Linked DNA regions of Drosophila melanogaster. The protein of the gene in region 4 interacts with the protein of the main gene of each other region in a pairwise test. Each region holds a gene or a part of one and is shown on either strand. Other genes may lie near its edges.

The links.
Region 1: the proteins of CG13476 (region 4) and ND-B14.5A interact in a two-hybrid assay, tested with the Drosophila melanogaster proteins (one large-scale study listed by BioGRID).
Region 2: the proteins of CG13476 (region 4) and LpR1 interact in a two-hybrid assay, tested with the Drosophila melanogaster proteins (one large-scale study listed by BioGRID).
Region 3: the proteins of CG13476 (region 4) and fws interact in a two-hybrid assay, tested with the Drosophila melanogaster proteins (one large-scale study listed by BioGRID).

What each region holds. Positions count from the first base shown.
Region 1 is NC_004354.4:2,170,852-2,178,568, reverse strand, and holds ND-B14.5A (NADH dehydrogenase (ubiquinone) B14.5 A subunit), read right to left. Parts: upstream 6,044-7,717; 5' UTR 5,927-6,043; coding exon 5,864-5,926; intron 5,764-5,863; coding exon 5,515-5,763; 3' UTR 5,137-5,514; downstream 1-5,136. Other genes in the region: Cyp4d2 (cytochrome P450 4d2), read right to left, coding at 1-232, 289-848, 906-975, 1,032-1,418, 1,506-1,662; Cyp4d14 (cytochrome P450 4d14), read left to right, coding at 3,333-3,504, 3,649-4,105, 4,169-5,072; CG3630 (uncharacterized protein), read right to left, coding at 6,641-7,414, 7,484-7,717.
Region 2 is NT_033777.3:25,754,921-25,764,166, forward strand, and holds the start of LpR1 (lipophorin receptor 1), read right to left. Parts: upstream 5,403-9,246; 5' UTR 5,283-5,402; intron 4,366-5,282; 5' UTR 4,257-4,365; coding exon 3,872-4,256; intron 1-3,871.
Region 3 is NT_033779.5:17,473,306-17,482,984, forward strand, and holds fws (four way stop), read right to left. Parts: upstream 7,725-9,679; 5' UTR 7,664-7,724; exon of another isoform or gene 7,615-7,663; 5' UTR 7,597-7,614; coding exon 6,991-7,596; intron 6,938-6,990; coding exon 5,867-6,937; intron 5,809-5,866; coding exon 5,230-5,808; 3' UTR 5,137-5,229; downstream 1-5,136. Other genes in the region: Sgt (small glutamine-rich tetratricopeptide containing protein), read left to right, coding at 283-1,278; cass (cassowary), read right to left, coding at 2,283-2,537, 2,605-2,791, 2,854-3,056, 3,112-3,312, 3,388-3,921, 4,094-4,255, 4,344-4,412; Lamtor3 (late endosomal/lysosomal adaptor, MAPK and MTOR activator 3), read left to right, coding at 8,029-8,072, 8,151-8,481; GCS2beta (glucosidase 2 beta subunit), read right to left, coding at 9,142-9,679. UniProt on the Drosophila melanogaster protein: Required for normal Golgi function and necessary during spermatogenesis. Required for cleavage furrow ingression during cytokinesis in dividing spermatocytes and for the extensive polarized cell growth that accompanies spermatid elongation.
Region 4 is NT_037436.4:14,703,882-14,706,657, forward strand, and holds CG13476 (uncharacterized protein), read left to right. Parts: upstream 1-1,582; 5' UTR 1,583-1,662; coding exon 1,663-2,112; 3' UTR 2,113-2,276; downstream 2,277-2,776.

The DNA.
Region 1 (7,717 bases), on a different chromosome or scaffold from region 4:
TGCCGGAGCAGCTTGCTGACGGTGCTCTTCATTTCCAGCATGGCAAACTTCTGGCCGATACAGTTTCTTGGTCCAGCGGAGAAAGGAATGTACGCATACGGATGAATCTGCGGGACATCCGCATCGAATCTTTCAGGTCGGAACTCATCGGGAGACTCGAAGTACTCAGGATCACGAAGAAGAACAAAGATGCCCATCGTAAAGTTGGTGCCTGCTGGAATATGCTTGCCACCTGACAAGAGCAATATGTTTACCTGAGATTGAAGAATCTCATATGGAACTTCTTACGTATTTCCACATCCTCGGCGAACCAGCGACCGATCATGGGCACTGGCGGGTGCAGGCGCAGCGACTCCTTAATTACGTTCTCCATAAACTTCAGCTCACCAAGATCACGAAGGGTAACTGGGCTCTTTCGATCCTCGCCGAGGACGTCGCGGATCTCCTGCTGCAGACGCTGTTGGACCTCCGGATGCCTTGAGATTTCATATAAACAGAATGAAATCGCCGAGGTAGTCGTGTCATGGCCCTCGAACATAAACGTGTCAACCTCTTCGCGGATATCCTCATCGCTCAACGGGGCGCCATCGATTGTGGACTGCAGCAGCACATCCAGCAGAGCCATCCGTCGCTTTTGGCCCAAGAAATTAACTTCCTCTTCTGGGGTTGTTTCCTTCGAGTTGTTAACCAGCGTTTCACGCCGCTCACGGATAATGTTCTCGGTAAAGTCGTGCATTACCTTGATAGCTTTGTCCTGGCGTTTAGCTTCTGTTGGCTGCGTTAGCCGGAAAATCCAGTCCACCCGCTGCCAAGCGTGGATAAAACGTTTAATCAAGATGTTGGTGACACTGTCACAAGGAAGAATTCATCAGAACTGTGGGGATTCGACCTATCATTACACTCACTCATTGACAGCCTGGACATAGGGCAGATTGGGATTTTTTTGGGCATTGATTTTTGTGCCCATTGCAGTTTCTAAACGGCGAGTATTAAGCTGTTATAAATATTTATAAGACTAATGGCAAACTCACCTGCGATTATATCCAGGGCAGTGAGACAAATCACCGGAAAGATGTTAATGGGAGTCATGCCGTCGGCGCGCGACTGAAGCTGCTCCACCATTACGGCGCTTTGTTGGTCGAATATCTCGACGAACTGTTCCAAAATCTTGAAGTGGAAGGTGGGCGTGATGATCTTTCTGCGTCCATGCCACTTCCTGCCCGTGCTCATCAGCAATCCATCGCCCAGCCAGCAGTTAAGTAGCTTGTACAGATTATTCTTGGTTATATGCTGCTGGCTGCTCAAGACGAACTCAATGTCTCGGGGATCCGTGGAGAAGACGGCCAACTGGTGGAGAATCCACACCCTGTAAAGGCGACCGTACTTGCGCTGGTTCTTCTTGACAAAGTCCATTATTTCTGCAGATTATTATTGGGAATGATTATGGATTGCAATAGATTTGGCCAGATAACAAACTGTATCGATGGGCTGGAACTCAAACTCACGTTCAGGATCTAGACCGCGATACATGAGCAGGTTGCCCAGGAAGGGAAGTGGCCGCGGACCCGGCAATATACCATTGCCCCGCCTGCGCCAGAGGAAATCCCACAGCAGCAGTGTGGCGAACGCCACCAGGAGGAGCACCCCAACAACACCCAGCATTGTGCGTCGAACGAGAAACGCCGTTCTACTGAACGATACTATAAATAATATAAGCTTCGTAATCTGAATACTAATACGCTAGCTGAAAGCTGAAAGCTGTAAGAGAGTCTGCTGTCTAAGAGAACTAAACCGCCTCAGGTAATCTGCATTCTGCAGCGGGCAGCTGGAGGTAAGAAAATCGGACGAACCATTTACGAATGGAGTTTATAGCCTTGTCACGATGACGCACAATCATTTTGTTGAGAGGTAATGCTTAGTTGGGTAATTTAAGCTAATGCCTAACCATCGTGGGTGGTATAACGAATTGGAGCTAGCCCGTTTTCATTATATGGTAAATTGGGAACTTGTAAACAAGTTCTATCAGAACATTTGAAAGGGGTATTTAAGTGATATACCCTGCTATTTCCAATTTATCATCATGAATTGTACATATGCCCGTTTATTTACTGAATAACAGTAGCTAAATCCATATCCTCTTATCACTAAGCGAACAGTGTCAAAGGTGAAGGTGAAGGTGAACTAGCCTATCGAAGATATCGTAAATTTGTGATTCACGTTCCCAGATTCATTGCCCCCACTTATATACTATTAAAAAGAGTGCAAGTTTAAGAATTTGCTTAGTAATGATTACCAGGCAGTTGAGAGCCCTTATCAATTTCACTCGTCATGCTTACCCTTAGATTGGAGGTAAACATTGGATCTCATACTGCAGTGGACAAGCCATAAAGATATCAACTCAAAATATCTGTTAACAATTTGAATAAATAGTTAGTTGAAGTCATCAATGAAACCATCGATTTGATATAATAACTCAGATATTATGTGTACAAGTTTAATATCAATCACATTTGTACCCGCTTGTCGGTTCGAGAGGTACACTATATAGATTTTTCTAGTTTGACCTGTTATGGATGGAACAGCTTCCCAGCGATGCTCTGAGTTTTCCATCTAACTTTGTAGATTTAAGAGAGCTGGGATCAACGGCAGTTTAATGCTGTGCATATTGTGCTGCATAGTTTTCAGCTTGTAAGTAGAATCGAATTTAGAAGATCAATTTGAAATCAATAATAATAAACAATTATCTCAGCATAATTTCCAGAGTCTATTAAATTTGTGGGCTTATTATCTATTTAAATATTTCCTTTTTTAGTTCCAAAAGTCCAACAAAAGCGTTCGATCTAATCAGCAGAACCAGAGTGGTTCATGTATCAATATACAGATAGCGCCATGCGAACTTTCCCAGGCCCCGCCTAAATCCCGCAACCGCCCACCTGTGTGGGCCTTATCAATCTGAACTTCCGATCGGCCCAAAGCCTTGGGTCACGATGAAGAGGCACTTTTTCCGTTTTCGTTCATCGCAGAATGTGCGCCAACGGATCTCCAAGATCCTCATGCAGATCACATAACCTGCTTAGAAATCTAACTGACATGGCAGTTGGAGGCAAGGAGAGCCCACGGACGACACACCGCCTGGTTTTGACCTCGGTCATAGTTTTTGGCCTTCGCATTGGTTTTCGGCTTCATTCCACTGATTGTGGACGCCTTATCGCAAACCACGCCGGCTACAAAACAGCCCCACCGACGAGGAAAAACAAGCAGTCGATGGCCAACGGTGCCAGTGTTAATAGATCCATCCCATTACCAACCCGGAAAACCGAAACCCAAAAAACATGTATCTAGAGCTCTTTGCGATTCTCCTGGCGACCGCTTTGGCGTGGGATTATATGCGAAAGAGGCGGCACAACAAGATGTACGCCGAGGCTGGGATACGAGGACCCAAGAGCTATCCTCTGGTTGGAAACGCTCCCTTGTTGATTAACGAGTCACCCAAGAGTAAGTCATGTACGCTAATCACACAGTTACAACAGAACATATTCCCAAGACTGCGTTCTTTCACAGTTCAGTTTTGGAAACAGTTTGATCTTAAAATCGTTGTTTTTAAAATCACAAGATGGCTAAACAAATATCAACCCTCTTCTCTTGCAGCTATCTTTGATATGCAGTTCCGACTGATTGCTGAGTTTGGTAAAAACATAAAAACGCAGATGTTGGGCGAAAGTGGCTTCATGACCGCTGATTCCAAAATGATCGAGGCGATCATGAGCAGCCAACAGACCATTCAAAAAAACAATCTTTATAGTCTGCTGGTAAATTGGCTCGGCGATGGACTGCTCATTAGCCAAGGAAAGAAGTGGTTCCGCCGCAGGAAGATCATTACACCCGCATTCCACTTTAAGATCCTCGAGGACTTTGTGGAGGTCTTTGACCAACAGAGCGCAACTATGGTCCAGAAGCTTTACGATCGGGCAGACGGCAAGACGGTGATAAACATGTTCCCGGTGGCTTGCTTGTGTGCCATGGATATCATTGCGGAAACGGCCATGGGTGTAAAAATTAATGCTCAGCTCCAGCCGCAATTTACCTACGTTCAGTCGGTCACAACGTAAGTATTATAACCTATATTAACTATCGGCGGACTTTATTCCATATGAGCACATCTTTTTAGTGCCTCTGCAATGTTAGCCGAACGCTTCATGAATCCCTTGCAGCGCTTGGATTTCACCATGAAGCTCTTCTATCCCAAATTGCTAGACAAGCTGAATGATGCCGTGAAGAACATGCACGACTTTACCAACTCGGTAATCACTGAGCGACGCGAGCTCCTACAAAAAGCCATTGCCGATGGAGGAGATGCCGACGCTGCCCTCTTGAACGATGTGGGCCAGAAGCGTCGTATGGCTCTTCTTGATGTGCTGCTGAAGTCCACCATCGATGGGGCTCCGTTGAGCAACGACGACATCCGCGAGGAGGTAGACACCTTCATGTTCGAGGGTCATGACACTACGACCAGTAGCATTGCTTTTACCTGTTATTTGCTGGCTCGACATCCTGAGGTTCAGGCTCGCGTCTTCCAGGAGGTCAGAGATGTTATCGGTGATGACAAGTCGGCTCCAGTTACTATGAAGCTACTCGGCGAGCTCAAGTACTTAGAGTGCGTGATAAAGGAGTCTCTGCGCCTGTTTCCCTCGGTGCCGATCATTGGACGCTACATTTCCCAGGACACCGTACTCGACGGCAAATTGATACCCGCCGACTCGAATGTGATCATTCTTATTTACCATGCTCAGCGCGATCCAGACTACTTCCCTGATCCGGAGAAGTTCATCCCTGATCGTTTCAGCATGGAGCGCAAGGGCGAGATCAGTCCATTCGCCTATACTCCCTTCTCAGCGGGTCCGAGAAACTGCATCGGCCAAAAGTTCGCAATGCTCGAGATGAAGAGCACCATCAGCAAAATGGTGAGACACTTTGAGTTGCTGCCTCTGGGCGAAGAAGTCCAGCCCGTACTGAACGTTATCCTGCGCTCGACCACCGGAATCAATTGTGGCCTCAAGCCGCGCGTCTATTAGGTGTTCCTGGATTGTGATTTTTTTTTTTTAACTAGTTGTAAGTGATGGGCTCTGTAAATATTTGAATAAAATACTTGTACATAATGATATCCAGTGATGGATGGTGTTTTTTCCGGCGAGTGTGATTTGGAAATAATGTGGACTGGTAAGGGGTTCTCACTTGGCCCCCCATAACTGGACATACCAATGCCCGCATTCCTGCTTCAATTTGATTCTATATTAGCTTTAACCGGCTCGTACTACAACTCAAAAAAAAATGGATGGTGATTTTTCCCGGAAGTGGGGTTTCGAAACATTGTGGGCTGGTAAGGGGCCTTTCACTTGGCCCTTCATCACTGAACATACCAATGCACGCATTTCTGCTTCAATTTGATTCTATATTAGCTTTAACCGGCTCGTACTACAACTCAAAAAAAGGCGATTCCCGCGGTGATGCGGCCCATTAATCCCAGGCATAGACCTTGCCGGGAGTGGGCAGCTTGGAAGACGGGGCCTTCGCCGCTTCCCCCTCTGCCGCCAGCTGCTTCTGCTGCTCCACCAGGTCGATGGGCGGCAGAACCTCGCGACGTCCATCCCGCTGGCAGTAGTAGTTGGCCGAGAGTAGATGCGATGGACCGTCAGGGATTTCCGGCTGTGGCTGGGTGCGATCGGCCAGTCCGTCCTCGAAGCGCAGGGCCAGGTTGTGCTCCCGCTGTAATTGGCGTCCAGATTAATCAGAGATTCACATTTTCCGTCTTATATAACTGAGAACCGAGTTCTCTGCGGTCGCTGTCCAAATGTCGGATACTCACACCCAGGAGGAAGGCCCGAATGCGCTGGATTAAAGGCGACACATCACGGCGCAGGGCAGACATTTTCCGTTTGTATTATTCTTCAAATTGAGAAACCACTGAATATTTTGGTTTTATATTTATTTGTGAGGTCCAGCCCTGTCGTCCAATCGATATCAGCTGCTTGAAATTACGAAGTATCGTTAATCGATACCCACGCCTCGTCCTCTTAACTTTGCTTTGCTGCCCTGCAATTGATATACTTATCGATAACTATCGCGAAGAAAAGTTGATATAGTAACGGCCGAATTTTTAATTAAAGATTAAAAGCAGAGAACAACTACGAGAAAGAGCACATAAAACTGCCTAGGCAATGAGTCATTTAGTTAGTTATGAAACCAGCACTTCCAATCGTTTTGAAACTAGAAAAACAGGACTTGGTTATATTGTGTCTATGTACGTGTATTTATTTTATTAGTATTTTATTGCCTTGCACGTTCCCAACTTTTGTGAGTGGGAAACCGTAGTTCATTTCCATAGAGTAATGGTTAACAAATTGAGGAAACTGGCTCCTTTGGTCGTCCATTAATAATATACAAGTAATAATAATAAATAAAAAGTTACTCTCGATTCTGTCTTCAGTGTTGTGTTGCTCTAATTGTAAATTAAACTAAGTACGCCGTAAACTAAACTACTGCAATTTAAAGCTGCCGCTTTAGTAGTTGCGAGAGTTCCTTTTAAACGATTTAAGGGGATGTTCCTTCCTTCCTTCCCAGCTAACAAGCTCCCTGTTCCGCCTTAAGCGGGCGTCGACTCTGGTTGGGATTGGGACTGGTCTGGCGAGGACTCGCTGGCCGTTCCGGGACTGGGCGCCAGCTGCTCCACGCTGACGGTGCGTACAAACTCGGCGGTGGCTTCAATCACAATTGTGGGTAAGTCATCAGCAGGTCCTGCCGGTGCAACTGCAGCGGGTGCTTCCTCCGCCTGCGGTTCGCTGGTGGTTGGTGTGGTTTCTTCTGTGGATGGTGCTTCTGTGACTATCACAGCCACGGGCGCCTGTTCGGTCACCTCTGGCTTGGCTGGCTCGATCTCAACGGTACTCGAAGCAGGAGCTGTTGCCGGTGTGGGCTCTGTAGACGGAGCTGGAACTGCTGCCATAGTGGACTCTGCCACAGGAGCAGGTTCTGCAGAAGTTGTGGGCCCAGCCACAGGCGTGACTTCTGCAGCAGGCGCAGGAACAGGTACAGGAGCCTTGGGTGCCGGCGACGCTGACTTCGACTTGGCGGACTTGCCCACAGCCGGCGAGGGAGTCCTCGACTTCAGTTTTTGTTCGTGAGCACTGCGATCCATCAGCACCGAGGTGGACTGCGGAGGCGCTGGACTAGCCGCCCTCTTGATGTCTTCAATCTTGGCCTCCATCTCACTGCGTATTTCCTTGATGGGCTTCAGCAGAAAGACGGGAACGTCATCGTCCCTCCGCTGGTACAACATCTCGCCCTCGAAGTCTACCAACTTGTGTTTGCGGGCCCGCAGCAGGATGCCCACCACCTTGTCGGATATGTAGTTATAGATCTGTAGAGTGGAAGTGACCAGTTTAGAGGGCTTTTCGAAAAATATACCAGCTGTAAACAGGACACTCACATTAAAAAGTTCGCCGAAGGGGATCACACGCATAGTGGGCTCGTCCTTGACGTCGTAGCCCTCCGAATTGATGATCTGGCAGAGCTCCAGCATCTCCTTCATCACGTGGATGTTGGCCTTCTGGCCACGCATCTCTGTAAGGCTGCCGGCCAGTGGTTTTCCATACTGATCCTTCGAGAAAGTGGGTTTCGGCGAGGCGGCGCGTCCGTCCTGGGAAAATGGATTCAGCAGCTG
Region 2 (9,246 bases), on a different chromosome or scaffold from region 4:
ATGTCAACAGTTTTACACAGAGAAAAATAGCGAATGTTTATTATAATGTAATATGTAGCTCAAAAAAAAAATTAATAATGGGAAAGCGTTCATATAAGTATATAATACTTAGGATAAATTTTATTTCATTATTTTTTTAAATTGACTTATGCCTTTTTGGTGGACTATTTCTTCATTTTCTTAGTGTAAGAACGTAAAACAAAATGTGACACATGAAAAAAATGAATTTAATAGATTGCCATTGAACAAACAGAGGGCCAGCAAAAAGCGATAATAATGAAGGAGGCAATATTGAAGTGGAGCCGTGCGTGTGGCAAAATAAACAATGGGATATCTCCGATTTGCAGCCGTCAATCAATAAGGTCAAATCAATTCGATTTCATGTCGCCGCGCTGGCTGGTCGGGAATTGTTTTCAATTATACATGATGACAGTCAACAAAATGGCAAATTATAATTCGAGCAAATGCATGCATATATGTATTTATGGGGCAGATGGGGGAATTTCGTTGAAATAATTCCAAATGACGTCAAGCATGACGATGAATGAGTTCCTTTGCCTTATGCGGCGGGTGTTTGAATGAAAAAGTACAAAAATAAATATTAGCTTGCGGCTCACAGAAGGATTTTGAATAGGATAATGAAAAAATAATAATATGGAGGTTCTACGAGTAGAAATAGGCAAACAGAAATAAGTACTTATAAATTGTGACCCTGAACGCGCCTTTAAATAAATTAGCATAGCTTGAGATTGATAAGGGTTTTTCTTGGAAGAATTTTGCTAAACTTTGCTAGAAAACTCAAGATGAATTCAGAAAACATCCTTGAAAAGTGATTTAAACCGTCAGTTTGCACATCAATTAACCCACTAATAGATTTTCCAGCCGGTTGCCACCTATCAATTAAGTTCCTTTGCTTTCTTGTCACAATCTAAACCTATTGAGTTTGACTAAATTGAACCAGTCGGTGGTTATTGATTACCGAGTTTCCGTAATGAGGCGGACACACCCCACAGATCGAAAAACCAGATCAATATCACCATTATGGGCAACAACAGCCTGTCTGCCGCCAACTTCGGCCAAACTTCACACACAATACGAGACTATGAATAAATAAACCATATCGATAGGCAAACTGCTTAGCATAGCTAATGATTTTGTTAATCGTAGAGGCGAAAACAAGTCCACACACAATCCGGTTGGCTTAACCCAATAAACTTCACTTCGCCGCTCGAAAATCAGAAACTGCAAGTTGTCATCATCATACGATTATTTTTTAGTATATAACAAAAACAAAAATAAAAAGCAATAGACACAGCGTGCCAAAAAATTGCTGATAAGCCCTTATCACATGGTCATATTAGACTAAGAAGTAATCATAACTGTGGGAAAAACTGATATGACTATATTGGTTGAGCAAGGTGTTAATTGCTGGGAAAAAAACGAAATCAGTTCATTATTTTCTTTTTCCCCGATTTAACACTAATTAATATTAATTCAACTGGGAGCACAGCCTTTGATAAACTCAGCGCCCCGATTGCGTCAAAATCAAGGTTAATGGATTACCTGATAATTGATAATTGCCTGAATGAATTTAATGTTATACATGGAATGACAAAACACGTGATTCCTGGGGGATGCGGCCCGTATAGAGAATGATTTGATGCATCAACAATTTCCCAAGAATAGTTGAATCAATCAAAACATGTTTACAGTAAGCAAACAAAACAATTAAACTGCATCAACATTCTCTCTACGTAAGATGAGCACGCCCACTATTAATTTGTTATTGTTTGTTTGCCATCGGTTCTGGCACCAGCTAGTTCTATATGCTAGAGAAATCTGTTGGCACAGCGAATAAATTAAAAACTGAATCGAAATGGGGCGTACGAATAAAAATTGAATCAACTTCTGCCTCTCTTCGGCGACCTTGCCACATCGCATATAGATGCGAACATATACATATGCACAAACAAACATACATATGTACATATATCATATCAAGCATATGTTAATTTATCTGACAGCAACTTTCAAGCGTGAAAAATCAAATGGAATTAACAATAAGTCAGCAGGGAAAAAGAGAATATCAAAGAGATAATGCCCCTTGATGGGCAGCATTACAACGCAAATCGACTGAGAATTGGGGGCTCGACTCGGTCTATATTTATGTGAATTTTCCTAGTACACTGCATACTGAAAAGCCAAAAAAAAAAAAATTATATTTAAATTTAAATTAGGCATCGCAGTAGGATGGCGCACCGATTTTCTGAACTACGTCAATTTCTGATACAAATATCTCTGAAATGCGCCTTGTTTTTTTGTGAGATGTTTAAGAAAATGTGTGTTTTTTTTTGTCAACAATTTATAATATATAGAGCAAAGTCCAAGATTCCCAAGAGCAAAGTACAAAAATGCAAGTAAATGTGGCAGATTTAGCCTTAAGACTATTTTTTGGCACTCAATATGTTGATTGATTTTCAAAAGTGCGAACTGCTTAAAAAATTTAGCTATTTAAAAATAGTTTCAAACCAAAATGTGTGAACAATAAAAATAAATTATTTTGGTTAGGATAACTGCTCTAATACGTCTTAAAAATTAAATATTAATTTATAACAATCGTAGTTTTCACACTTCATATTCTTTTATCTATATGTTTTCAAGATCATTTGAATGACTTATGGCACCAATTCAAAGCTCCTTGCACTATCAATCCATTAATTCTTGATTTATAGAAGGAAATTTCTATTGTCTGACTGCCCTTTATTGTCCACTTATCTTCAAGTCGCGAAATCCCGGCGGTCGAAAAATGCATAAAAACAAATCGTAAAATTGACCGATAAGATAATCCCCAGTTCGGGGCTAGCACTAAACGTAAATCCATATTGGCCAAAACAGGTGGCTAGATTTAAAGTTAGATTTATGATTGGAATGCCCCGCGCCACAAAATAACGTCACAGATAGACGCCAAACGCTTTTCCTATCGCTTAGCCATTAGAAGATACAGATTCTCGATGGTCAGCCAGGCGGAAATCAATGCGGAAGTGGATAAAAAATTCTCGGCTATTTCGATACCACGGTAACAGTAGGTCCGCATACCGTCTGTGTGTGTGCAACAAGTGGAAGGTGCACTTTTGTATCTGTATCTGCAACTGCATTAGTGCTTGTATCTGTATCTTTTTAACTGAGCCCATTTTAAGTGCACGAAGTGTGAAGTGAGCAAAGCCATTTGAATGACTCGACATGCAGGTGATACCCTTGTGACCAAGATTGTGATGATTATAAATTAAGCAGTATAATGGAAAGGCCATATATCTTAAATGTTATTATTGACTCATATAAGTCAAAACTGCTTACTTTCCATTCAAAGAGGATTGCTTGGAGTTGCGAAGATAATGTAATATTTTGAAATAATCGTTTACATTGCTCAATGGCTTGGGGATAATTTAATAACTAAATACTCAAACACTATCAGCTTAATAAAGTTTAATGAAAAGCTTCTTAGCATTGGTTGATAATTCTTTAACGATTAAATTGTAATTCGATTGCACGCGCTTTAATTTTAAGTTATCAGCTCAAGCTAAGTACTTTACTTTGTTCTACAACGCAGTTATTAATACAAATTTTTTTTCATTTTACATATTTGTAAATAGGCATCAAGTTGAAAAGATTAAATGAATCATTTTATATATACCCCAAGCCAGGGTATCCAAACTTCATTTTCGACTTCAACCTCGACGACATCTGTGGTCTAAAATTAGCACAAGCTAGGCTATAAACAAACATCGCACTTTGTGCCCCCCCTTGTGCGATCTTTTTTTCTGGTTTTTCGCTATTTTCGCCGGTTTTTTCAATCAGCCAATGCATTTCTCACCTATGCCGAGGGGTGTGCCAATCTTTCCGGAAACGTTGAGGAACTTGAATCCCATGTTGATGAAGGCTTTGCCATCGATCACCTTGCTCAGCGATCCGCTCTCGTCCAGCGTTTGTGGATTATGTGGGCTAACTGCCGAGGTGGGCGTGTTCGTTGAGGGCGTGTTCAGCGGCGTGGGCGTGGCAGTGCAGCATTTGCCGAATCCGAGCATTAAAGTCAGGAGCAGGAGATTGAAGTTGGCGCATGCGCAGCGGAACAGCTGTTCGGCGCGTCTTTTCTCGCCGAGATTACCGAATGTTACTGGAGATTTTGAGCTTGTGGTTGATTTTATGGCGGTTTTTGTGGTTTCACTTGCAGTGCTCGTAGAGCGTGACTCTATGGCCATGGTACGGTATTTTGCTTGCCTTCACTCTTCTTTTGCTTTAATTTATGCTGTCTGTTTAATGCTTTTTTCACACTTTTATCACTTCGATCTTACAAGGTTTGTATAGACACTGTATTCGATAGGGGAAAATTAAGTGGGGTGATTTCTGGTGACCCTGGTTGAATAGATTATCTAAGCAGGAAGCGTGAGATCTTCGCCAGAGATTATCTAATCAGAGAAATGGCCAAAAGAACCAGCGTCAACGTAAAAATAAACGCAAGCATTAACGCAAAAACATTGGAAGAATCGCTTGCCAGCCAAAAAATAAAATAAACACACGATCCGGCCAATTCTCTTTTACTTTCGTCTCTCTTCACATTTCTTATTTCGAGATGAGAAGACTGAAGAAACTGGTTGAAAATCGTGCGACACACAAAAACGCGACGTAGCTAAAAAAAAATACAAAAACCGAAAAGGCCGAAAAAAAAAAATTTAAGCAAAAATATCGGACAACAACAAAATCACCGAAAAATGCGAAGAGAGAAAAAAAGCAACGCATAAAATTACACAGAAAATTCATTTATATATTAAACTTTGAAAATAATTATATATGTACTTAACGAGAAATAACATTTATTTTGAGTAAAATATGGAAATTATAAACGATAAGTAAAATATTTGATAATAATTGTATATTAGCAAGAAAAACAAGTTTTCCCTTAATTTTTATAGAGAAACAAAAACGTTTCTGTTGACGTTGGCAATTAATAAAGCCGAAGTATAATTTAAAATTTAGTTGAGCGGACGGCCACGCCCCCTCCGATCGCGCAAATAAATTAATTAAATATTGTTGTTGCCGATATTTGTAGCTAGCACGCGTCAAATCGCCCGGATAAATAAACTCTTATCAGTTTTGCCTTTTATTTTGATTTATTTTTGCGGTATTTTCAAGGTGTCTGCGAATGTGCGGCACGTGCTAATCGCGTCTTTCCAAATTTATTTCAGAAACAGATCATTGCATTTAAATCTGTAGAATGTTTGAATTACATGAGGTTTGTTTTTATTTCGCTTTGTTTGTTTCTTTTGTGTTTTTTATTTGGTTTTTAAGTTGAAAATAAACCGCAAAAAACTGTGATGCCCGTTTCGCACAACGCGCCTTTTTCAACTGAATTCGCTTAGAGAATTGGCCTGCAAATTTAAGCGAATCGCCAGCGATTTTAATTCGAGAGCCGAGAGTAACTGTCGTTTGCGATTGTGCTTGTTTTTGCACCGTCTTAAGGTGGCCTTATCAAAACTGACAAGAAACTGACCAGACCCCGTCGAAGAGATACATAAAGAGTGATCTGGCAGATCGGAGCACTCTCTGAATTTAATCGATGCTGTATTCCACTCTTAGCTCCCCAAAAGATTACTAACGTACAAGGTGCTCTTAAGGCAAACCAGTTGATCAGTGATCAATGGAGCGTACGTTGATGTGAATGGATAGATTGGGCAAGGAATCGTTGGGCGATCTATAGATACAACTATTACAGAAGCATTGTTTAAAAACTACAAGAATTTTAAATGCTTCTTCAACTGAGATAATTTATTTAAAAAACAAAAGCAACATGCTAACGAATCCCAGCTATTAAGAATCGATCAATCATTTCTTAAGTTATAAACCTACGCCTTAGAAATTAAAGTATTTTTTATGATAAGGGATCATACTACTTTCGGAATATTGCGACTGATTTCACAACTAGACAGAATTCCGTGGAAATATATTGAATAAGTAGTGATAATTATCTTGTCGTAATGCCAAGAATCCACTTTAATTTAAAAATACGTTTTGTTATTTTATACTCAAGTTGGGCAAATATCCCCTGAGAAAGAAAAAGAAGGACTCAAGTGCTAACTTGAGAATGATGTTTGCGAACCAACAAAGGTTATATAGGGTAATCGCACAAAGTGTACTTAGATGTACATGTAATTGGTCAGCCAATTATTCAATCTGATATTAAAGTCTAATTAAAAATAAGTGGTTAAGGGCTCCGAATTAAGAGCAGTTTCAGACCTCGGAAAAAATCCTATTTTCTACAGTACCAACCTGAATGTAAGGAAAACGCCAAGGAGATCACAATCAGCACACAGAGATCACTTTTAAACATCGTACTGTACGAAAATACGTTTTTCAGACTGTATGTATCTAGACTTCCTTTTTGCGTTGCCACCGCGTTTATCAGTGCGAAAAACAAAGATATTTTTTAATTAAGCTGGACAACCGGACGTGAGAATTGTGCCGATAATCGTACGACAGTCGTGACGTTCTGCATGGGCCCACCGAAACTATATCCAGGTATCAAATAGGTATTTTGAATATACTTAATTCTTTTGATTTTTTTTTGGGACCCGGAAGGTTTTACGGTGTGATGCCCAGCGAAGACCGATGCGAACTGAAATGCCTTTCGGCGATTGGTAAACGGAATCGCAGCTCATTAGCATTGAAAGTGTCGCCGCTTTCAATCAAACCAGGTGTGGGTCCGATTGAAAGTGGTGTGAAATTCGAAATTGAACTGGAGTGTCGTGGATTTGATTTCATTGGCTTTTGGCTTGGTTAGAGTTGCGTTGACTGACGTCGATGATAAGAGGCGGTGAAAAATCGCAGCCAGCGGACAATGGGTTCGGTTAGGGTCAGTCATTTAAAATGCGTCATCTTCAAAACAATTATCGGCACTAGCAGCATCCCAGTACCAATGGAAATCTCAATCAAACCCGCAATCACAATCACCATCATATCAGCCATTAGATTGCATTGCAATCACCATCGTCATCGGTGCTTGGGCGTCATCTGCATTTGTCATGGATTCTCCGGCGTAACGGTCCACTTGAAATGGGCATAATTTATGATTTGCGCGTGTAAATCATTTTTCAAGCACCACCCCGCGATGCTTGTGAATGACAGAGCCGTCGGAAAACCCCCACCAAACCAACGCCCCTGCCAACCATTCTGTATATTTTGCAGTGCGCCGCCGTCTCTAATTGCAGGCGTTGGAAATCGCTGGCGAATCGCTCGCAAATCGCCTAATCAAGCACTTCAATTGACACTGCATTTTATCGCCCTGCAGCCCCGTGCCGTGTGTTCAAGTTTTGTCGAGTGTGAGTTTAGGAAAACATATGTACATATATATATACACCAATACATACATATGTGTCTATTGTGGTTTTGGCAGGCGTGAAGGGCCAGCCCATCTATCAACTATCGCTTGGCCAGATAATGATCAGTGTTCTTTAATCTTTAAGTGGCCTGACTGTAATCGCTATTTTCGGATACCGAAACAGGAGTCCCTTGGCTATATAATTTAAATATAAGAAATATTTTAAAAAAATCGAATTAAGCGAGCAGAAATATTAATAACCATCGCAACATAAAAAACTAATTAGTTTTAGAAATAAACGATCATAAAAGTTGTCGTATTTATTGAAAATTCATGATAATTAGGTAAGACTGTAGTTCCACTTGAACTAAATTAATATTTTAAGTGCATTGATCGAGTAATTCCAAAGCGGAAATTCTGACTTAAGTCTTTATCAAATTAAGCCCAAATTCCATACGCCCTTTCTACACTTTCAACACCAGGGCATTATACGAGCAGTTGGGAATTACATGACCCAATGTTTGCTGTTGTTATGGCAAAAGTCTCGATTTGGTCTACGTATAGACAATGTCTGAAGATCTCAACTCGGTGGCGTCTACACCTCATTTGTGGTAGGTCTAATTGAACTTTGCTGCGATTTTCCAGGGAATTCGTTAGTATTGTTTGCACTGATATACACTGATTATTATTTTGTTTGCGTTATGAACACTTTGTGTGGTCCTTGCACTTCACAGTTCATATTATGCATTGTATCTTCATTATTTTATTTCTTAACACTTTGTTGGTTCCGATCCACTCGACTATCGACGCGGTTCTGAAAGTTCGTCGTTGGTTTTTTTTGTGTAGTGGATATGAAGTGTCTGTCTCTTTACCATTTCCAATCACATCACCCCATAGGGGGTTGCTTTAATTACCTATTACCATATTTGGCTAATTAACATAGTGCAGTGAGTTTGATTAAAAAAACGTCAAACGCATTAGGTAGAAACGAAAAGTTTTCCACGCGTTTCTTTTTACATGCTTTTTTTCTTAGATAAGAATTTTAGAAATAGTTTTTCAACATTTTTACATATATTCTCACTTTTTAAATACTTTGTGAAAATTTTAACAAGCAAATATATTTTTCTATGATCGTATGGAAGTAACAGTGGCGCGGATGTTATCGAAAATTCAAATGGAATATATTTTCGAAAGTCGCGCGCGATTGGAAAAAGTCTTCGAATCCGAATGTAAACAGCGAATGAATGAGCGAAGAAGTAACGGTAAATTTCACATGTGCCAAATGACAATAGAAGTCGCCGACGCAGCAGCCTCTGCCACAGCCGGCGTCGCAGTCGCAGCGACCGCGGCGCATTAGCAGAGGTTTTCCCACCAAACGAAACAGTTGTGGATGCTGCTGGAAAAGCGCTGTTAAGCCACTGCTAACCGCTTAACAGTGAGTGTTGCGCAGCGGCGACGTCAGCGTTATCGCTCATAAACGTCATTCAATGGCCATATCTTTATGGGCGCTACTGCTTCGGGGTATTCGACTATGTGTGTGTGTGTTTGTCTGCCCAGCGAAGCGTTGCTAAATATGAAAACATAAAAATTAATGTTATATTTATAGTGTGGCAGCAAAAGTTGCGGCAGGAGGCGTTGCGGTCGCTGCAGGGCAGCAACAACCATACAAGCAGCACCACCAGCAAAATCAAAAGTAGTAACAGAAGCAAAAGGAGTAGGTACACTGAGCGAAAGTTATGTAACTTATTAGCTGAAAGATACTTTTGTACTGCTGAGATGCATTTGTATCCAAAAGATACTTTGTATTAACAAGTCTGTGGTAAGTTTTTGAAATCGTATATGGGTCATTCCTAAAACTAAAGGTTCATTGAAAGTAA
Region 3 (9,679 bases), on a different chromosome or scaffold from region 4:
TTCCACTACTAAGGGTATGATTTTATTTAAAATGCTTGAAGCAACAGATTTATTTTTATATAAAAATATATAATATAAATATAATTTAAGCTGAAACCAAAGTTTGTAAACAGCGTCAGCATTTCCCATACTATCAGAATGTTCGATATATGTCTCAAAAGTTATCGGGCCATGTAGCACATCGATACTCGATTTTATATTCACATTTCGCCTAATCACATTTACTTTTCAACTTGTCTGTCGATCGAAATTAAGCGAACAGAAATCTAAAGCATAACCAAAATGCCGGACGCAGTGCAGCAGAGTTTCGTGCGTAGCTTCATTGACTACCTGAAGAAGCAGGGGGACGTGATGTCGCCGGACCAGACCGAAAGCATCGAGGTGGCGATCCAGTGCCTGCAGGCGGCCTTTGACTTGGGCGATGATGTGGAGGCAGCGCCGGCTGCGGCTGGTGAGGAGCAGGCCACCACACAGAGCAGCAGCACTGCGAGCGCACCGGACGATGATGCGGTGGCCAGCGGAAGTGCTGGTATCGGCGCCGCCGCCGCCGCCGTTCCCAATAACATTGACATGTTCGAGCTCTTCCAGTCGCTGTATACAGAACGCAATCCGGAATCCCTGGCCCTGGCCGAATCCATCAAGAACGAGGGCAACCGGCTGATGAAGGAGAACAAGTACAATGAAGCACTGCTGCAGTACAATCGTGCCATCGCCTTCGATCCCAAGAATCCGATCTTCTACTGCAATCGGGCTGCGGCCCACATCCGGCTGGGTGAGAACGAACGCGCCGTAACCGATTGCAAGTCCGCCCTGGTGTACAACAACAACTACAGCAAGGCGTACTGCCGCCTGGGCGTGGCGTACTCCAACATGGGCAATTTCGAGAAGGCGGAACAGGCCTACGCCAAGGCCATCGAGCTGGAACCGGACAACGAGGTGTACAAGAGCAACCTGGAAGCGGCCAGAAACGCCAGGAACCAGCCGCCCCAAACGGGGCGATTAAGGGAAGACCTAATCAACATGCTGTCCCAGCCAATGGTTAGGAATTTGTTCAACAACGCCGAGATCGACGTGGAGCAGCTGCTGTCGATGCTTCAGAATCCAATGATCATGAACACCATTCGCCAGCAGTTCGGCGGCGGCAATGCCCCGACCCTGCCCAATGACATGGTGCAAATGATCTATAACATGACCAGCCAATTGACTGGCTTTCCCAATTCGAACGCAAATCCTGGCAATGAACAGCAGCCGGGCAATCAGCCACCACCGAGCACCTAGAAGTGGATAGAATCCCGATCCCCGATCCCTGCCTGGATCGGCGGCACACAGATTAAGTTGTTAAGCTGAAACTATAAATGTATTTATAATGTTTAAATGGCTTCTATTACGCATACATACATACATACATATACATTTTTATCCAATGGAAATAAATAAATGACCGTGCAAATTGCCGCTGTTCCAATCGAATTTTCAATGAATATTAAATATATATATTATAATGCCTCATATATTTTTCTAGTTGCCCGTCGTTAACAAAATTAAACAAGTATATCACACAGTGCATGTAATTTAATGTTGCTTTTATTGAATTCAAGAAATGTATGCTAGGGGTTTTTTTTTTGCTGATTTGCATCTCTAAATGGTACAATTGTTAATTTGATATTACATGTCAAATAAAAACTAATGGGTTTAAAACAAATGCCGATCTGTCGCAAACAGTTTGTCGCTTGAAAATCATTATCTTCAAAGCGGTCAACTTGAAAGTAGGTTTTATATTGATATTCGTTCACTTGGTTATTGGTATAATCTTATATTTATGCGTTTGACAGAATTGAAGGTAAAAACAGGAGTGATATAAATTTCAAACAATGCCAGCGCCTTTCTTTTGGGAAATGTATGAAAAGAAGGCGTGGCGTGTTTTGGAAAATTGCACAAGTACTTTAGCGAAAACAAATGTTATAACGAAAATAATAAAAGCAATGCGTGAGTGTATGAGTAAAATGGATGTAAAAATGTTGCATTTAATTTCCATGAAAATATGTTGCGCTGAAAGGAGACAAAGGGGAGAAAGTTAAATGAAAATTGCACGGAATACTCACCACTTTCGTTTTGTTTCCTTTAAAATTGCTTGGCTGCAGCATCGCAACAGTTGTGTTTATTCTGCTCGCATCCAATATCTTGTTTTTGTTTTTTTTTTTTTTGTATGTCTACGGACTAGGGACAAACCATTCAAGTGAAGTGTTCTTTGCTGCTCTTCTGCCTCACGATTGATTCTTTACTTAGTACTTGTTGAATCGCCTGTTTCTGTAGCCTCCACCGCTGCCGCCACCGCCGCCGCCGCCACGTTGTCTCGTGCGATTGTTGTTTCCGTAGCTCTGGTTGACCTTGTTGGAGTATTTTCCAGATGGCGGCGAGTAAAACTTCTGATCGTTGGATGGCCGCGATTTCTTCTCTGGCTCCTGATCCTTATCCTTGCCGTTAGCAGCGGCTTTCTCCCCAAAAGTGATGGGTGCATGACGCTTGCCCAGCTTGTTCTGAACGCACAAGAATATTGCATTGTTTATAAATATATCAGCTGTAAGAGATAACTTGTGTGCTTACATTTTTTGGCACAATCCAGGAGAGCACAATGTCATGTTTGAATATGGGCGGTGAATGAAATAGATCCCGGATCAGAATGTTGATGTTTGATGTCGTCTTCAGTGCCGTCTGCTTCAGTTGGTTCTCCTCCGTTTTGAGCTCCTCTCCCGTCTTGCCTTTGAGCGACTCCTCCAGTTTCTTAATATAACTACAAGGCAAGTATTATAAAATAAATTATGTAAACAGAATAAAATTTTTGCAAGAACCTACCCCTGTGTTCCCCTTGCAAGATATTGCAATCTAGCTCGAAAGTCTTTTAGTTTCTCTGCATCCTCGACGAAACTTAAACTATTTGGATGATTTTTTCCAAGAGTGTGCAATGCGTACAGTAAGCACTCGGCGTGCGAAAACTGAAACGAGGGCGGTGTATCTCCCAGATCCTCGTCACTCAGCTTTGGCAAAGGCATGTATTCCTGGAAATTGTTTACATGTTATTCGCTCAATTTCGAATGTACCAAGTACACTTACCAGCAATACATTGTAGACTGCATTAATCCGTTCGCTGGCATTGTCCAGCTTGTCTGTGTTGGTTATCATCTCGGCGAATACCTTTAGTAATCTAAGTTGGATTTGATCTTGCGAAACTGCAGTGGCGATCATGTTCCAGGTCTTGATGGGCAACAGTTTATCGCAAACGTGAGCCACGAAGGCCGTGGATTTGATGGTTTTCTATAGGAATGGCAAGAGATTCGATTTAAATGCTCGCCAGGGGTTCGATTTCATGTGCAGCTATTGGAAACTTACCGAAAAGTAAGGAGCCGCAGCAGAGGCGCACTGAATGAATCGCTCCACCACCTCGTCGTCGACGGCTATGATGTCCGCGTCTGTGTTATTTAGCTCCGCCTGCTCCGTGGCCAGCTTGACGAGCTCGGCGTGTCCCGTGATGGTGCTTCCCAGTTTGGTGGCTCCCAGAATTGTCATGCACAGATGAAACTCATCGGCAGTGACATCCTGCAAAGCCTTTTTGATCTCCTCCACGATATAGTCCTCGATTTCCTTGGTAATAACTGTGGGACCCATGGTCAGCAGCTTGGTGGCAATGAACTTGAGGCAGCGCTCCCTTGTCGTTTCATCCCCAGTGGAGATTTGCTGAAACAATCCGGCGATGGAGCTCTTGGTGTCCAATTTTATGATGGCCAGCAGTGAGTTGTTGACCTGCTGGAGTTCTGTGGGATCGTCCAGGATTAACAGCTGGGCCAGAGTATCACCCACTCGGATGGTAGCATCTGCGTTTCCCTGGCACAGTTTCGGCAGATCTTTGATGGCCTGGCGGCGGATCTACAAGGATGATAAAGATATTTAGTTTGTGGAATATGTGGGATATCTTAAGCTGTCAAGATACGGAGCAGGATTACAGGGGATTTCGATTTATTTACACACATCAGCTGCATACAGGCCAAAAATTCCGAGCCTATTGTATCAGCTGGGTAACTTTATGGCACCCACTCACCTGTGTGTCGTCATCCTCGCACAAATCAAACTGCGCGTCTATGGCTGTGTCGGCCAAATCCGGAAAGTGTTTGAAGAAGTTACCAATGAACTGCGATGCCAGGCGCTTCTCCTTCGACGTGCCCTTCACGGCCTTGAGTATCTCTTTATATTCATCCACATGCTGCAATTCGAAAAAAACATGCATATATATATTAGACCATGTATCATATACCGTTTTTTTTTCGGCACGTTTTGCAATGGCGGCATACTTCGGATATTTTATCGCCCGCCTCGGACAGAATCTCGTAGCATTTGTACAGTCGCTCTATGTTGTCCATCTTCTTGGCCAGTGGTACGCACTATATTTGCAGAGGTTTCAAGCGTCTATAGTTTACTTTACACAGTTTTCGTTGCAGTTAAATTGGATGACAGCGTTTCTCAAATGAGAGTTTTTCACGTTGCAAACAAAATGGTGAGCACGGGGGAGTGACCAGATCTCGAGACAGTAAAAACCCAGATGGATATCGATATACCGTTGGGAAAAATTTGTACTACCGTTATTCAGAATACACATCGATAGTTAGAACAAGTTATTAGTACCGTTATTCTGAATACGCATCGATAGTTTAAAAAAGTTATTACTACCGTTGTTTTGAATGCCTATTTCAAATCGATATAAATGTGAAAAATATATAAATACCGATATTCCGGAGGAACTATTTCCAAACGATGTAGTGATATATTTTTATTTGAAATCCTCTTAATGTTAATGACGAATAAGTAAGAATTATTCTTTTAATACGAAACATCTTCCAAAATGTGTCTTTTGAGTAAGTACCAGTATCATTTATATTAACCATGGAATTCCATTTATTCATATAGCGCCAGCCAAAACTGCCTACCAAAATTAATTTAATCAAATGACAATATGACACAACCTCGCATAATTTCAATTTTAAGCCTCTAGCCTCAAGTTCTCACTGCTATCATTATTCCACTCAATAAGTTATTCTAAGAAACTCATTAGCTTCATTTAGCGGAAGGAACTGAGTACAATGATTTAATAGAAGGATGCCATGCATATGTTTATTCCAAACATATTCGTGCTCTTACATACATACATACATAGTTCTAGATACATAATACATTAGACATTTATGGAAGTGCCTTTAAGGCCTGTTCAAAATAATCTACCATCATGGGGTAAACTTCGTCGTACTGCTGAATGTTCTTTCGCCTGGCATTGTCCCGATACCGTTGCAGTGCCCCCGAGATCAGCTCTAGTTTCTCCCGTTCAGCCGTGTGCCCATCCAGCCATTCGATCAGCCGCTCATTGGACCAGTTGGCCGTCGTGTGTGGCGACTGCAGATCTGCTCCAGCGTGTCCGAAGAGCAGCAACAGCACTATGTAACTGGGCACTAGAGAGTCCTCGCCGATTGTCTGCTTGACCAGCTCCTCGGCCGTTTGGACGATCAGCAAGGACATGGCTCTTAGCAGACGCGACGGCTTTCCCAGCTCGGCGAGATTTGGGCAAAGAGGTTTCAACGCCTGTTCCATGTGTTGACAGTCTTGCTTCAAACGCTGCCTTCCGCAGGAGCTTAAAGGTCGCAGAATGCACACATTGTGCAGGAAGAGCTCAATGCAACGTTTGGCCAACTCGTGTCCGCACTTTTTCGTCATCTGCTTGTCATCGAACAGGGCGATGTGATGCGACCAGGATCGGTTGACGAACTCCTAATAGTTTGATTGAGACATATGACTAGCCAAGTATTACATTCAAATTCCCACCCACCTGCAGTTCCTTCATGTACATCGACGGACCTGTGGTAGACATCCTCTCCGAATTCAATCCCGGCTCCCTGTGCATACTCAATACAATGATGCTAATGGTCGTGATAATCGACTCCATTATCTGCTGTAGAATGGTGCCGATCAGTAAATCAGCCTGTTCCAAGGATCGGGATATAATCTCCCTAGCTGTTCCCGGTGTCTTTTCAAAGTGCACATGAAGATCACTGAGCATGCGACGCACTGAATCCTTATAGTAGAACAGAACATTCGCCAGCTGGGTGTTTTGCTGCTGCTGCAGATTGGGCAGATCCACGACCTGCTTGGAATCAGCTCCCAGCTTGATTTGAGCCTCTAGTTTTGTGCACAACTCTTTTCCACAGGCCGCAAATACATTTGCTATGGCATTCGTGAGACGGGAATCGATCAAAGCAGCACTGAGCTCCGTTGATGCCACACGAATAAAGTTGTCCACCGTTTCGTTGCCGGGCAAATCGACTCCCGCCAGACATGCCTTAAAGTTGGCAGCACACTTGCTAACGTAACCCACTTCCAGGGGAGCAAATAGTTCGTTGTCAAACTGAAACTCGCCATGCAGACGCTGCTCCAAGCCACGAGCGGAGGTCAGGAGCTTTGAGAGCCCCTCCTGAAGGGTCTGCGTAACATGCTGGGGGCATTCGTCAAAGGATTTTCGCAGGAGCTGCTGCACCTGCTGCCAAAAACGCTGCGGAATGCACTGATCCGATGATTCTGATGTATAGCCAAACTGGTTGATCTGCTCGAGAGCCGTTTTCAGCAGCTTGATTTGCGTGCAAGTCTCAAAAAGTTCATCATAGAGCAGCCAATGAAGAGACTTCCAGAACTTGGCACGGAAGTTTTGAGTGGTTGTCAACTGGGGAGTTTTTCCTGGTCCCCTCGAGGGAGCAGGTTTGCTCACATTGTGCGTCGGGGACTTGTTCAGCACAGATATATCGTTGCCAGCAAAGCACTCTTTCAGAGATTGCTCCATGTCGGCAATAAAGGTGGCCAATAGGTTATCCAGCGATTTTTCCAGCGTATTGAAATTCATAAAGATCTAAGGAATAAGAACTCTTAGGTATATGCTAGAAAAATGTTTGTTATATCCACCTTCAAGGCATTAACCACTTGGTTTTCATTGCGCTCCTGGAGCCCAGTGACCAACTGCATCTGCGTGAGGTTCCTTATCTTCTGAGCAGAGCTGATCACATAAGCTCGCTCCTGCTGGATAAAATCAATGTCCTTTAGCTCCTTATCTTCGATGAGTTGGCCCAACTCAAAGTGGATTTCGGCCAGGCGTAGGACATCCTTGGTCGCTTTTAGTTTGGCCGTGAGGCTCAGCAATGTTCCAGCCGAGCGGAGTAGGTGACTGACATCGTGCAGACGCCCTAGCACTTGCGTTTGGTTCTCCACCTGCTGGTACTGCGTGTCCACCTGGTTCTTCAGCCGGTGCCCAGTTTCCCTGACCCGCTGCACATCCTCGGCGAGCGCGTTTAAAGCCGCATCGAAGCGCCCAGCGTGGGTGGCCTGCTGCAGTAGAGCTCCGTGCTTGTCGCGCACCTGCTGGTGCAGCTCCTCCTTCGTGTTCTGCAGTTGCTTGGACAGCTCCTGGATTTGCTGGCCAATGGTCAGGTGCGACATGGATGCGGTAAAGTCATTATCATCCGAATCCGCTGCGTTTGGGGTCTTTGTCGCTACCGGGTCTCCAGTCACCATGATGCAGAAGGTTTTAATCTATGGTAATACGAATTATAAGCTGGTATTACACTTTTATTTCCATTACTTGCAGCAATTTTACGTATTGCAAACAAACTGTTTTTCCACGCAACCAAAAACAGGCTGTAATCGATAAATTTCCAGTTGAGCGGGGATTGAATTTTTTGAAGGGGTTTCTAAAAAACTATATAAAGTATTGCGTGATAGCTTAATAATATAATATTTAAATAATAATGTTAAAAACTAGCCGCATCCTTTTTCCGCTTGCTGAAAATATTTTACTTCGACCGCCGACTACGCCCCTGCCACATGAACTTATCGATAACTTGAGGCAGCTGTTGCTCACTTTGTTTTGTGTAAATAATTGGATGCGGAGAAAAACGTATTATTATTGCCATACCTTCTCTAGTCTTTCGCTTTAACAAATTTTCCATGTCGGACGACATCAAGAAGTATTTAGACGGCCTGCTGCAAAAGTAAATATTCCACAGGAAAGGCTGTTCCCAATATGATTAACTTATAATTTTTCCCCCATTCCCCGATTTACACAAAAGGGTCAGCGGGCTGTACGTTATTCAGATTACGGATCGCGACGGAGTGCCCCTCCTGCGGGTTAGCCAGGAGAAGAACGTGGACTTCGCCCTGATGCCCTCGTTCATACCCACATTCACCACCGCCTGCGATCAGGCCAGCAAACTGGGATTGGGCAGAAACAAGACCATCATCTCCATGTACTCCAATTACCAGGTGGTCCAGATGAACAAGCTGCCGCTCATCCTGACCTTTGTGGGCGCGGAGAACTGTAACACGGGACACATTCTCGCACTGGAGCACCAGGTCGATGGCTATTTGGAGGACATTAAACAGGCTGTCACCGAGGCCTAAAGTTAGTCTACCTTGTAATATGCATATTTTTAATATTTACTAAATGTTTATACATACATACTTTATTGAGAACAGAATGAGTTTTTAAAAATCTCAACTCACCATTGTACTATTCCGGGAATTTATTTCATATCCTGCGAAGGGTGATCTCAAAGATGAACAAAGTTCCGAGTCCTCCGTTTTGGCAACAATATCAAATATGCAAACTATTGACACTTTATTTAAAATGAAAAATTCTTGCTGCCTAAAATGTGTACATTCAATTAAATTTCTTCATATAGTTTCTCAATTATAATATACTTTTCCCTATACCTTGAAATCGTCTGTGCTCAAGTATCACGAAAGTAAAATATTTGTATGTTTGAGCTCAAGGAAACCGACTTTAAATCAACATTTTCATTCAGTGATGTTATCTGTTTTAAAAATACTAGGTGTTTACACTTTATTCAGAATGAAACTTGATGTACTTTTTGCTTAAATGCATATACTGAGTTAATTAGCTACAATTCTTGATGGTTTTCCTGCTGCAGTTTGGGAATGATCTCGACAAAATTGATATTCTCCTTTAAAACTAAAATACAATCCCCAAATCTCTGGTCTACGCATGCCAAGCATTCACATTTCTCTGCGGCTCATCCTCATCGTCGATTGTTGAACATTTCAGAGTTCGTCGTGCAGATTCTCCGATTCGGACTGGAAAGCTTCGCTGTCGCAGGCGGCGGGAGTTTCGAATTCAAAGTAGTATTCACAGCGATTGGGCTCGCTGACGGCAGTGATTTTGGGTTCCAGGGCACAACTAATGTTGATGATGGCCGAACGGTTTGGACCATTCCAGCAGGCAGCACCATTGGTGTACTTTTGTTGGGAATATTGCTTTGGCTCTCCACTCCATTTGTCCCAGCGACCCAGCGTGGTTTCAGGCCCACCGCTCCTCGACTTCTGGGAGGCCCGATCGAAGGGACAAAGGGTGTACACATACTCCCGATCTTCGAAATTGTAGCACTGGCCATCGTGCACGGCCCACTCCTCGGTCAGGCCGTAGCCCTTGTTGTTCTGGTCGTCGATCTCGTTAACCTCCTGCTGAATCTCGCGCAGGCTGCGCTCCACTTCCTCGAGAGCATTTCGCGCCTCATTGGCCTGCTGGATCAAACGCTGCGTCTCCGGATCGTAGTTAGGTGGCGTGGCTTCTTCCGCATCC
Region 4 (2,776 bases):
TTTTTCATACATATTCAGGTTTATAGTGTTTATATGTAAGGTGTTTGTAGGTTCTTTATTGAGGCAAATATATATAAAAGAAAAAAAATAAATAAATAAGGTACATTTTGAACTTCACTATAAACAAAAGTCAACACGTCCTTAGTCTCTTAAATATGAATTCGACTTTAAAATCGAATAGTATTTGCAATCCACATCAGAAATAAAGTTCTCTTAATTCAGACTAACAAAAAAGATTGATGTTCTTATATATGCATTCACATAAGTTCGACATGGAAGAAAAAATAATCGGAAAATTGCCAAAGCTTCTTCCTTTTCAAAAAGTGTTCTGCATTTGTGTGGGTATAAACGTGTCCTTGTGAGTGTCTGCACTCATGCATAGAAATAAGCCGATAAAACCCTGACAATTGTGTCATGGAGTAGCGTTTTAGTTTTGGGATTGGACTTAATGCCTCTTGACTTCAATTTGCATAGTCGGCTTAGCAACGTTCGTGCAATGATTGAATGACAAATTGATAGAATTCGGCATTTACCAGTTGACAGCTAAGGAAGAGCTTTTTCCGGTCGGAGGAAACGGAAGAAAAGTTAAACCGATGATGGAGATTTCAGTTCAAATTCTGTTTGAGCATGATTTAATTATCGTGCCGGTTAAAAAGGACTTTTCATTTGCCTACAACAATGTTCACAACGAGTTGCGCCTTTTTAATTATAAAAATCAAAATTCATGAAAAGCTCTTAGAATATAGAGATATGATCTTTTAGTGTTTAAATCTCTTGAATGCGAGTATAACATAATATATATATAAATAGGCTTTTCATCATCACATATAGATGATTTAATCCTTCTTCTCCAACAAAATTTTAAGCCATTCCCAACAAAGTTGTTAAATTGTTAACAAAGCGAACATTTTCACTCAAAAAACGCCCCTATCGCATTGACTCTGACCTAGACCGCAAGCCGTTTAGATCCCGCAGGACTTCCCATTAATCCAATTAGGGCTGAACATATTTGCTTCTCATTAAAAATGAAATCCTTTGCTTTGGACCGGAATCAAGAGCTTTGACCAATTACCAAGCGTTTTTTCATTTACGTTCGCACATTCGAAATAAAAAATTAACCAGGAAGGTCGCAGATAAAGGCATTGACAGAGCAGCTTAGAAATCTCTTTGTCAGCAACTTAAATGAAAATTAAGACATCTGCTTTCATTTAGCTTAAGTGCTTATCTTGCGAAGGACGCAAAGGCAAAGGACACGTTTGCCCACAGGACAATCAATTATGAATGCAACACCGAGCACCATCAGCTTGGCAAAATAGTCTGTAATAAAAGTTAGGTTCATGAGGAGTGCGATGCTTTTGGGCGGCTAATGATGATAATTATATGTTTTAAGTGACATTGATTTGTCGCCTTCAGGATGGGCCGGGAAATTCCCATGATGTTTAATTCATTAGCCAGCTAATCGGCTTACTCTGATAATTAATATAATTGATGTCAGTCATCTTATTGTAGCGCCACCCAAGCAGGCTACTCATTCCCAGTTGCCTCTGTGTCATTTCTATGGATCTAAAATAGGTTTCCCAGTACTATTGACGCCCTGAAAGTAATCAGATATTCACACATAAAATAAATTCAAATAAAATCTGTATATTTTGTACGCTCACAATGAACATGAGGGGAATGGCCAAGCGTTCTATTTGGCTGCAATGTCTTCGGGAAAATGCCACCAATATGCGCCTGGAGCACGAGGATCTGGGACGTCGCATTGCTGTTTCTTTGGCCAGTTCCCAGAAAGCTCTAGTTGATATCGAAAACTTGAATCAAGAGCTGTTAAAAATGAAGGACACAATCCATAATGCCATTTCCAATGTTATGGGCTACGAAAAGAAGTGTTGTGAATTGCTCCTGGAAATTTTGATTAAAATAGTTGAGAACAACGACCTGGATGCCGAACTAAATCCCAAAATGATCTCCAAGGCGTTTCTCGACTTGGATCCGAGTTCCGACGAGACAGAAGTTCTGAATGACCGTAGTCTTGCAGCGTCTGATTTTAATCAGCAATATCCAAAAGATGTGCCGGATTCTATTGATATAAACATAACAGAAGACCAGTAACCATTTTAAATAGGATCCAAGACCGCACCAATTCGATTACTAACGTCTTAATTTAATGCGTTGTCAATTCCACCTCACACATTTAAAAGGAATAATAAGGTGGTCAGGGCTACAAATGTTTTATATTTTTTATCGATTCAATTAAATTTGCATGGTGAAATGACAAAACCCATTGTCTCTTTCTTCAGTTTATAGTTGTGGGAAAGTTTCTAAGACGTTCGAAATGTTAAAACCCTTGAAACGAAAAAACTTAGGATGACCATAAAAATACAAAATTATGAACAGAAAGAAAAGAGAAAAGCACGCCAACATCCGCACAAATTGTCCTGCAGAAAAGTCAAGACAAAATCACGTATACGCACTGTGACAACCCACAGCCTGGGTTAAAGACAATCCCAACTGGTAATCCAAGTCGTGTGCGTAGCCAGCATCCATGTTCCTAAACAATTTGTCGGCGATTTGTCGGCAAACTTGAGCCATATACGCCACACATACGCACCGAGTGAGCCATATTGCACATACGCCCCGTGTGACCCACAGAGGAATACAAAGAGTAACGAGGTTAAGTGACCCAACCAGCAAAACAACCTGTTGACTCAGGCTCTCTGCTCTCTCACTCAAAGCAAACTCACTCATCGGTGGGTTTGTTTTGCTCCGCTCTTTC